2 linked regions of the Callithrix jacchus genome follow. The protein of the gene in region 1 binds, or shares a complex with, the protein of each later gene. Links are inferred from orthologs where the notes say so. Each region holds a gene or a part of one and is shown in the gene's direction. Other genes may lie near its edges.

The links. The genes of interacting proteins can lie anywhere in the genome.
Region 2: GTF2E2 (region 1) and POLR2D share a complex: the UniProt entries of both Homo sapiens proteins name them as parts of the TBP-based Pol II pre-initiation complex. The link is inferred for Callithrix jacchus from reciprocal best matches to the Homo sapiens genes GTF2E2 and POLR2D.

What each region holds. Positions count from the first base shown.
Region 1 is NC_133514.1:31,763,222-31,768,012, reverse strand, and holds part of GTF2E2 (transcription initiation factor IIE subunit beta), read left to right. Parts: intron 1-3,911; coding exon 3,912-4,019; intron 4,020-4,791. UniProt on the Homo sapiens protein: Recruits TFIIH to the initiation complex and stimulates the RNA polymerase II C-terminal domain kinase and DNA-dependent ATPase activities of TFIIH. Both TFIIH and TFIIE are required for promoter clearance by RNA polymerase.
Region 2 is NC_133507.1:36,569,591-36,574,660, forward strand, and holds the end of POLR2D (DNA-directed RNA polymerase II subunit RPB4), read left to right. Parts: intron 1-365; coding exon 366-461; intron 462-2,853; coding exon 2,854-2,932; 3' UTR 2,933-3,701; downstream 3,702-5,070. UniProt on the Homo sapiens protein: Core component of RNA polymerase II (Pol II), a DNA-dependent RNA polymerase which synthesizes mRNA precursors and many functional non-coding RNAs using the four ribonucleoside triphosphates as substrates.

The sequences.
Region 1 (4,791 bases):
GTGAAGGAATGAGCAAGGCCACGCCTGCTGGCCCTTTGTCATGTGGGATTCCCAGTTCTGCCTGAGGATTCCATCATACATGTCACAATCAGAAACGTGGATGCCTTGATGTGAAGTGAAGGAGCCGCTCTTGTCAGTTCCTATATTCACTATTAGTTAGTGAAGCATAATTTTTTTTTTTTTCTGAGACAAAGTCTTGCTCTGTTGCCCAGGCTGGAGTGCAGTGGCATGATCTTGGCTCACTGCAACCTCCTCCTCCTAGGTTCAAGCAAGTCTCCTGCCTCAGCCTCCTGAGTAGTTGGGACTACGGTGTACACCACCATGCCCAGCTAATTTTTTTTTTTTTTGAGATGGAGTTTCGCTCTTGTTACCCAGGCTGGAGTGCAATGGTGCGATCTCGGCTCACCACAGCCTCTGCCTCCTGGATTCAGGCAATTATCCAGCCTCAGCCTCCCGAGTAGCTGGGATTACAGGCACGCGCCACCGTGCCCAGCTAATTTTTTGTATTTTTGGTAGAGATGGACGGGGTTTCATTATGTTGGCCAGGCTGGTCTTGAACTCCTGACCTCGTAATCTGCCTGCCTCAGCCTCCAAAAGTGCTGGGATTACAGGTGTGAGCCACTGGGCCCAGCCTAGTAAAGTATAATTTTTAAATGGAAATTAAAAACAATGTGACAAACATTCTAAAGCATTATCCCAAGGTACCCAGTTTTGTGCCCCTAGGTTGTGTACGCCCCACATAGGAAAGCACTGTGCTGTACCGTAGCTGCCTGGCATTTCTCTATATTCTAGTTATGTCATCATTCAAGGTCTGTTTAGTTTTCTCTTTCATTTCTTCTGATTGAAGATGTCTTCTTGACAGATAGCTGTATACCTAGCTTTTTTTCTTTTCTTTTCTTTTTTTTTGAGGCAGAATCTGCCTCTGTCACTCAGGCTGGAGTGCAGTGGCATGACCACAGCTCACTGTAGCCTCTGCCTCCTGTGTTCAAGCAGTCATTCCACCTCAGCCTCCCAAGTAACTGGGACTACAAGTGCATGCCACCACACCTGATTAATTTTTGTATAGATGAATATTTTTTGGTAGAGTTGGAGTTTTACAGAGTTGTCCAGACTGGTCTCAGTCTCCTGGGTTCAAGCGATCTGCCCACTTTGACATTCTTCCAATTTGCTGAGATTCAGGTGTAAGCCACTGTGCCCAGCCATATCTAACTTTGGTAGCTTGTATGTTTAGCTTCTCCCGTCTATTGGGAGCTCTTAAAGGCAGTAGTAGTTTGCATTTTATCATATGTCGCATTGCAATACTCTCAGCACATAGTAGTTACCAGTAAATTTGAATGAATAAGTGAATGAATTCACAGCAAATGCTCAATGAATGGTTCTTGTGCATGGTGTGTTAGCTTTATGTTTCCATCTGCTGTCTGTACCTTTTAGTTGGGAGAAGTGGTTATTATTCGTTTTCCAGGGCCTGACTGAAGCCCAGTGACGTTCAGTAACCTGCTCACTGTCAGGAAACTTGGAGTGTAGATGATTTTTTTTCTGTTGAAGAGTGATTTTTGTTTTGAATAAATAACATATCTCTTTGTACAAAAAGTAACGTTATATAATGACGAATAATGAAGAGGTCTTGTTCTCACCTCTCATCCTACTCATTTTCACCCCTCTTGTGCTTCCTACAGGTAGCCTCTTTTATTAGTTTCTTGTGACTTTTTTAGTGGTTCTCTATGCGGAAATAAAGCTCAAATGTATACTTATTTCTGCTCTTCCCTATATACAAGGGTTTATACTGCATATGTTTTTTAACATATATACTTTTTTCTTATTTACTTTAAAAATATTTTAGTTTTTAAAGCAGTTTTAGGTTCACAGCAAAATTAAGTGGAAAGTAGAGAATTCTCATCCATTCTCTGCCCATTCCCCCACAGCTTCCTCCACTGTCAACATCCTGCACCAGAAGAGTACATTTGGGACAACTGATGAATCCACATTGACAAATTACCCTTCAAAGTCCATAGTTGACATGAGTTCACTCTTAGTGATATTCTTTCTGTGGGTTTGTACAAATGACCTGTGTCTACCACTATAGTATGCTACTAAGCATTTTCACTGCCCTAAAAAACCTCAGGGCTCTGCCTATTCCTCCTTCCCTCCCCCCAACCCTTGGCAGCTACTAAACTTTTTATTGTCTCCATGGTTTTGCCTTTTTGACATTGTCAATAGTTGGAACCATACCGTATGTAGCCTTTTAGACTGGCTACTTTGCTTTAGTAATATGTATTTAAGGTTTCTCCATGGTTTTTCATACCTTGATAGCTCATTTCTTTGTAGCACTTGGTAGTATTCCATTGGCTGTGAATACCACAGTTTATTTACCCACTCACCTACTGAAGGACATCGTGGTGGCTTTCAGCTTTTGGCAGTTATGGTTGGCAGTTATGGATAAAGCTGTAATAAGCAACCTTCGGGAATTTTTGTATGCACATAAATTTTTGGCTCATTTGAGTAAATGCCAAAGATCATGATTGCTGGATTAATTGAATGGTAAGAGTGTTTAGTGTAAGAAACGGCTGAACTGTCTTCTGCAGTGTACCGTTTCACACACCAGCAATGAATGAGAGTTCCTGTTTGCATCCTCTCTAGCTTTTGGTATCTACGTGCGTGTGTGCGCGTTTTCATTGGATAGACATGATACATGTTTTTTAACGTATTAAATTTGTCCTGGACATCTTTTCAATTTAGCACATAGAGAACTTTTACATTTACTTTGTGAACATCTGTATAGTAGGATGAATGTGTTGTGGTTAATCGTCTTCTAATTATGTGCGCTTGGGTTATTTCTAGTATTTTCCTTTTAAACAATGCTACAGTAACCATAAGTCACTTTCCTATGTGGTGCTGCTATATCTGTAGGGTGAGTTTCTAGATATAAGACGGCTTGGTGAACGTTGAGTGTCTTTTCATATGTTTAAGGTCATTTTTAGTAATCTGTGTGTTTCTGTCTTTGGGCTATTTTCTCTTAGCTTTTTTTTTTTGAGACGGAGTCTGGCACTGTCACCCAGGCTGTAGTGCAGTGGCACGATATCGGCTCACTGCAGTCTCCACCTCCTGGGTTCAATCAATTCTGCCTCAGCCTCCTGAGTAGCTGGGACTACAGGTCTGTACCACCATGCCCAGCTAATTTGTTTTGTATTTTTAGTAGAGATGGGGTTTCACCATGTTGGTCAGGCTGGTCTTGAACTCCCAACCTCAGGTGATCCACCCAAAGTGCTGGGATTACAGGCGTGAGCCACTGCGCCCAGCCTTTTTTTTTTTTTTTTTTTTTTTTTTTACATAGAGCCTTGCTCTGTCCCCCAGTCTGGAGTGCAGTGGCATGATCTCAGCTCACTGCAGCCTCCTCCTCCCAGGTTCAAGCGGTCCTCTTGCCTCAGCCTCCCGAGTAGCTGGGATTACAAGCATGCACCACTATGTGCAGCTAATGTGTTTTGTATTTTTAGTAGAGATGGGGTTTCACTGTGTTGGCCAGGCTGGTCTCAAACACCTGACCTCAAGTGATTCCCCTGCCTCAAGCCTCCCAAAGTATAATCCCAAAGTGTTGGATTACAGCTGTGAGCCACCATGCCTGGACTAATTTGTTAGGTTTTTGACGTTCTTGAAATGTTAGGCAGATTAGTTCTTTGTGATATGAATTGCATATTTTTGTCAGTTTATCATTTTATTTTATAGAGCAGTGAGTCTCAATCCAGTACTGATTTCAGAGTCTTGTGTTCTTCATCAGTATGATTATACTACCTGGAATAATACATGTTTTTCATTCCTGAAGAGATTTATGTATGAAAAGATTTATGTACATGTAACTATGATTTAAGGCATTTAGCATTTTAAAACTATGTTCTAACAATTTTTTCACTCAATAGACACGGCATCAGCGAGGAGATACGCATCCTCTAACCTTAGATGAAATTTTGGATGAAACACAGCATTTAGATATTGGACTCAAGCAGAAACAATGGCTAATGACTGAGGTAAGAAAAGGCTGAAAACATTGTTAAAATTTATTTGATTATTGAGAGAGATTTCCTGTCACTAGAATTTTTTTTTTTTTTTTTTTAGACAGAGTCTTGCTCTGTTGCACAGGCTGGAGTGCAGTGGTGCGATCTCAGCTCACTGCAGCCTCAGCCTCCCGAGTAGTTGGGACTGCAGGCATGCGCCATGACGCCAGGCTAATTTTTGTATTTTTAGTAGAGACAGGATTTCACCATGTTGGCCAGGCTGGTCTTGAGCCCTTAAGTGATCAGTCTTTCAAAGTGCTGGGGTTACAGGCATGAGCCACTGGGCCTTGTCTAGAATGTTTTTAATATGATGAAATCTGATAATGGTTTTTACTTTTTCTTAAAAGAAATCTTGTAGGGTTGTTTTTTAGATGTATGCATTTATAATACTGATTTGTTGGTTTTCACGTACTTTTATGTATGTATTTATTTCATAATGTTAAAGGTAAACTTCTGTGTAAAAGTTGGAAGGAAGTCAATGTACCAGTTCCACTTATGTTTTTTACAGATTAATTAATGCTTAATTTGAATTGCCAGATTTATAATTTGTGTGCTTTTAAATTGAATTGTTTTTGTTTTAGAAAATTTTAAAGCGTTAGGTACTGCAGGGATAGGAAGATACTCTGTTGTACAATTACTGCTATTATGACTTTATGTGGGAAAAAAGTCATGAGTGCTGTATGAACACACACCATTTGAAGAAACCCCAACACATTCAGTGACCATGCTGATTTGGAAATGAATA
Region 2 (5,070 bases), on another chromosome or scaffold:
GTGGTGCAATCTCGGCTCGCTGCAACCTCCGCCTCACAGGTTCAAGCGATTCTCATGCCTCAGCCTCCCAAGTAGCTGGGACTACAGACACATATCACCACACCCGGCTAATTTTTGTATTTTTAGTAGAGATGGGGTATTGCCATGGTGCTCAGGCTGGTCTCGAACTCCTCATTCAAGTGATCCGCCCACCTTGGCTTCTCAAAGTGCTGGAATTATAGGCGTGAGCCACTACACCCAGCCGTCTAGCTATTTTTAAATGCTAGCTACATTTGATCCCTTTTTTCCTGTTGATTATTATTTGATTTTTGTTGTTTATTTGGTTTTAATTTGTTTCGGTATTTTTTTTTTCCCCTGTTGATCAGCTTGCTACTCCAGAAAAAGCTTCATAAGTTTGAGTTGGCCTGTTTGGCCAACCTTTGCCCAGAGACTGCTGAGGAGTCCAAGGCTTTAATCCCAAGGTTAGTACCAGTTGTAATCAGTTCTCTGTATACTGGATAAATTTCTGCAAATATAATTGGTGTATCTAAAATGTTTATGCATTTTCTCGGGCGTGGTGGCTCACGCCTATAATCCCAGCACTTTGGGAGGCTGAGGTGGGTGGATCACGAGGTCAAGAGATCAAGACCATCCTGGTCAAGGAGGTGAAATCCCGTCTCTACTAAAAATACAAAAATTAGCTGGGCATGGTGGTGCGCACCTGTAGTCCCATCTACTCAGGAGGCTGAGGCAGGAGAATTGCTTGAACCCAGAAGGTGGAGGTTGCGGTGAGCTGAGATTATGCTATTGTACTCCAGTCTGGGTAACAACAGCGAAACTCCGTCTCAAAAAATAAAAATTAAAAAAAATAATAAAATGCATAAGCATTTTATATTTGCATACATAATTGCCAATATTGAATTAAAGTGCCGTTTTAACAGTGAGAGTGATACCAAGTGATAGTAAAAATGAGGAACAGCTGGACTTCCGTATACTGATGGTAGGAGCATTAATTAGAACAACCATTTTGGAGAGCAATTTGGCTATGTCTAGTAAAGACGAATGTACTCCATGTTCCAAAAATCCATTCCTGGGTATGTATCTTTTTTTTTTTTTAGACAGAGTCTCACTCTGTCACCCAGGCTGGAGTGCAGTGGTGCAATCTCAGCTCACTTTAACCTCTACCTCCGGGGTTCCAGTGATTCTCCTGCCTCAGTCTCCTGAGTAACTGGGATTACAGGTGCCTGCCACCACACCTGTCTAGTTTTTGCATTTTTAGTAGAGATGGGGGTTTCACCATCTTGGCCAAGCTGCCTGGGTACATATCCTAAAGGTAACTCACACAAGTTTACAAGGATATGTATATTCCAGTGTTCATTGCTGCATTTTTTTTAAGTAGACATGGGGTTTTGCCATGTTGGCCGGGCTGATCTCAAACTCTTGGTCTCAGGTGATCTGCCTGTTTTGGCCTCTCGAAGTGCTGGGATTACAGGCATAAGCCATGGCGCCCAGCCTTATGCTGCATTGTTAATGATAGCAGAAATTTGATAATCTCTTGATCAATAAGAAAATGCATAAATGAATCATTGTATAGTCATAACAGTGTTTATTGTACAGCAGTGAAAAAAATGCACTAGAACAACATGGAATAATATCAACACATGCCAGAATGAATTTTGAGGAAAAAAAATTGCAGAAGGATAAATACAGTATAGTGCCATTTCTTTTCTTTTCTTTTTTTTTTTGAGACGGAGTTTTGCTGTAGTTACCCAGACTGGAGTGCAATGGCACAATCTCGGCTCACCGCAACCTCTGCCTCCTGGGTTCAGGCAATTCTCCTGCCTCAGCCTCCCGAGTAGCTGCGACTACAGGCATGCACCAGCATGCCCAGCTAATTTTTGTATTTTTAGTAGAAACGGGGTTTTACCTTGTTGACCAGGATGGTCTCGATCTCTTGACCTTGTGATCTACCCACCTCGGCCTCCCAAAGTGCTAGGATTATAGGCGTGAGCTACCGCACCCAGCCAATGCCATTTCTTATAAAGTTTGAAGCTACTGCATATTATATATCCATAAATGTGTAGTAAATATAAATATATATGTGGCAAGTAAAAATTTAAATGTAAGGCAATGATAAATTGTGGTTATTCCTGGGGGAGAAGGGAAGGTATAGGTCTAGGGTAGTATACATAGCCAACGACTTTTCCTGCTTGTTAAAGAACTCTGGCCAGGCGGGGTGGCTCACGCCTGCCATCTTAGCACTTTGGGAGGCTGAGGCGAGCAGATCACCTGAGGTCAGGACTTTCATACCAGCCTGGCCAACAGGGTAAAACCCTGTCTCTACTAAAATCATAAAAATTAGCTGGGCGTGGTGGCGGTTTTCTGTAATCCCAGCTACTCAATAGGCTGAGGTAGGAAAATCACTTGAACCCAGAAGGGGAGGTTTCGGTGAGCCAAGATCACGCCACTGCATTCCAGGCTGGGGGACGAGTGAAACTCCCTCTCAAAAAATAAATAAAAATTTAAAAATAAATAAATAAAATAACTCTTAAGAATTGCCTGAACCTGGGAGGCAGAGGTTGCAGTGAGCAGAGATCACGCCATTGCACTACAGCTTGAGTGACAGAGCGAGACTCCATCTCAAAAAAAAAACACTCTAAGTCAAGTGGGGCTAACTGTAAAGGTTTATTTTTTATAGCTTTTATCTTTTACATGTTGGAAATATTTTGTAATGTTTTTTCAGGAAAAGTGGAAAAGAAATACAGATGAAAGGTAAAGGTGTTAGAGATATAGGCAGATTATCACGCCTCAAAGAAGAGTGTGAGGAAATTGCCAGTTGCCAAGTCACTCATTCTTTCGGTTTTCTTGTTGTAGCTTGGAGGGGCGGTTTGAAGATGAGGAGCTGCAGCAGATTCTTGACGATATCCAGACGAAGCGCAGCTTTCAGTATTAATCTCCAGATGTCACTGCTTCTCAGAGAAACCATGTCCCCAGGCGTACCACCACCTTCCCAGGGGCTGGGGCTGACTTGCACAGAAATTCTACTGCAGAAGACAGTTGAGAATTCCTTTGGAGAAAATAGCCCAGCTTGGCATTGGGTTAGGTTGCTGTTTCAAATAACTCATAGGTCCAGGTGACAGGTAATCTTGGAGCAGCCTTGTGCAGTGGCTGCTAGTGGCTTTCCTGAATGTGCCTCTGGGAAGTGTGAGGTGGGTGTGTCACATAAGCCACACTATTGACTACCTCATTCATGGTTTTTGGCCTCCACGTCATCTTTTCTTAATATTTCCCTTTTTTTTTTTTTTTTTTGAGACGGAGTCTTACTCTGTCGCCGGGTGCCAGGGTGGAATGCAGTGGCACAATCTCGGCTCACTGCAACCTCCACCTCCAGGTTCAAGCAATTCTCTTGCCTCAGCCTCCCGAGTAGCTGGGACTACAGGTGCATGCCACCACACCCAGCTAATTTTTGTATTTTTAGTAAGATGGGGTTTCACCATGTTGGCCAGGATGGTCTCGATCTCTTGACCTTGTGATCCGCCTGCCTTGGCCTCCCAAAGTGCTGGGATTACAGGCTTGAGCCACCGCCCGGCCAATATTTCACGTTTTAATTTCAGTATGTTTATACTTTTTGAAACTAGACCAGAGCATAGTAGACTTTATAGAGAAAGACCTGTTTTACATAGATGCAAAAGGAATAATTAAACCGCTGTTATTGTTTGAAATGCCTGTTTTTGTCTTAATGGAATTAGGGTCTTAACTCTTGCCCAGGCTAGAGGAGTGCAGTGGTATAGTCGCAGCTCACTGCAGCCTTGACCCCCTGCCTCAGCCTCCCAAATAGCTGGGGCCACAGGTGTGCACCACCTTAAAAGATGAGAGTGTTCATGACAGAATGCCCTGGTATTATTGTGCCTAACCTAGGGGACAGGGAAGAAGCATGCCATGGGAAGTGTTTACACTTGGGGACAACTGTGCTAAGTATTGTGGAGCCCATAGCCTTGAGCGAGATGGCTACTTTGCCTTTTTTCTTGAACTGTCTTGCAGAATGTGGATTTGGGGCAAGTGGTCTTGAAGGACTCATTTAGTCACCCTCAAATTAAGATTCTACTTCATCTTTCTTGGGCCTGTACCTCAAACATAACAAAGAAAAGAAGAAACAGTGGTCATGCCAAAGAGGGCTGCAGCCAGGTGTACGCTGTGCACTCCAACCTATTTGCTGCATGAACTATGCCCATTGTGTGCCCAATGACAAGGCTTTTAAGAAATATATCATTTGACATGTAGAGGCTGCAGCAATTAGCAATGTTTCTGAAGCGGGCGTCCTTGACGCCTGTGTACTTCATAGGCTGAATGTGAGATTACACAACTGTGTGAGTTGTGCCATTCATAGCCCGGTAGTCAGGAATCAAGCTCATGAAACCCGCAAGGACCAAACACCTCCACCAATGTAGACCTGCAGGTGCTGCCCCTGACCCCCACCAAAGCCCATGTAAGGAGCGGAGTTCTGAAGGACTGAAGAAAAACTATTCTTTGGAGAAAAATAAAATTGCAGTTGTACTTAAAAAAATTTTTGCTTCATAGGCCAGGCTTGAAGTTCTGAAGACTTTGAAGTCTCCAATCTAAGCCTCTGGCTTGCTACTTAGCAATAGGTGTTCTATGATGGGCTGATTTGGAAGGAGGGAGTCAGCTACTCTTGAGCCACTGCAATGAAGTCACTTGATCTCAGTCTGGGGGGAAACACTTTAATAGCTAAACATTCTAGCTTTGATTTTTCTGAAGGAAAGACACCTCTTGAATTCTGGGATTTTTCTTTGGGGCATTTGCTTGACTGTATATGAACTTGGGGTCCAAGGAAAAAGGAGAAAGAATAGTGTTGGCTTTTATAGTCAGCATAGTTTTATGTTTGCTACTAGATAAGGCAAAAATAAAAACATTTTTATAAATACAGTTTCTGAAAACTGATTTCTTTCCTTTTTTTCTCTTTTGAGACAGAATCTGGGTCTGTTGCCCAGGCTGGAGTACGATGGCACAATCTTGGCTCACTGCAGCCTCTGCCTCCCAGGTTCAAGCAGTTCTCTGCCTCAGCCTCCCCAA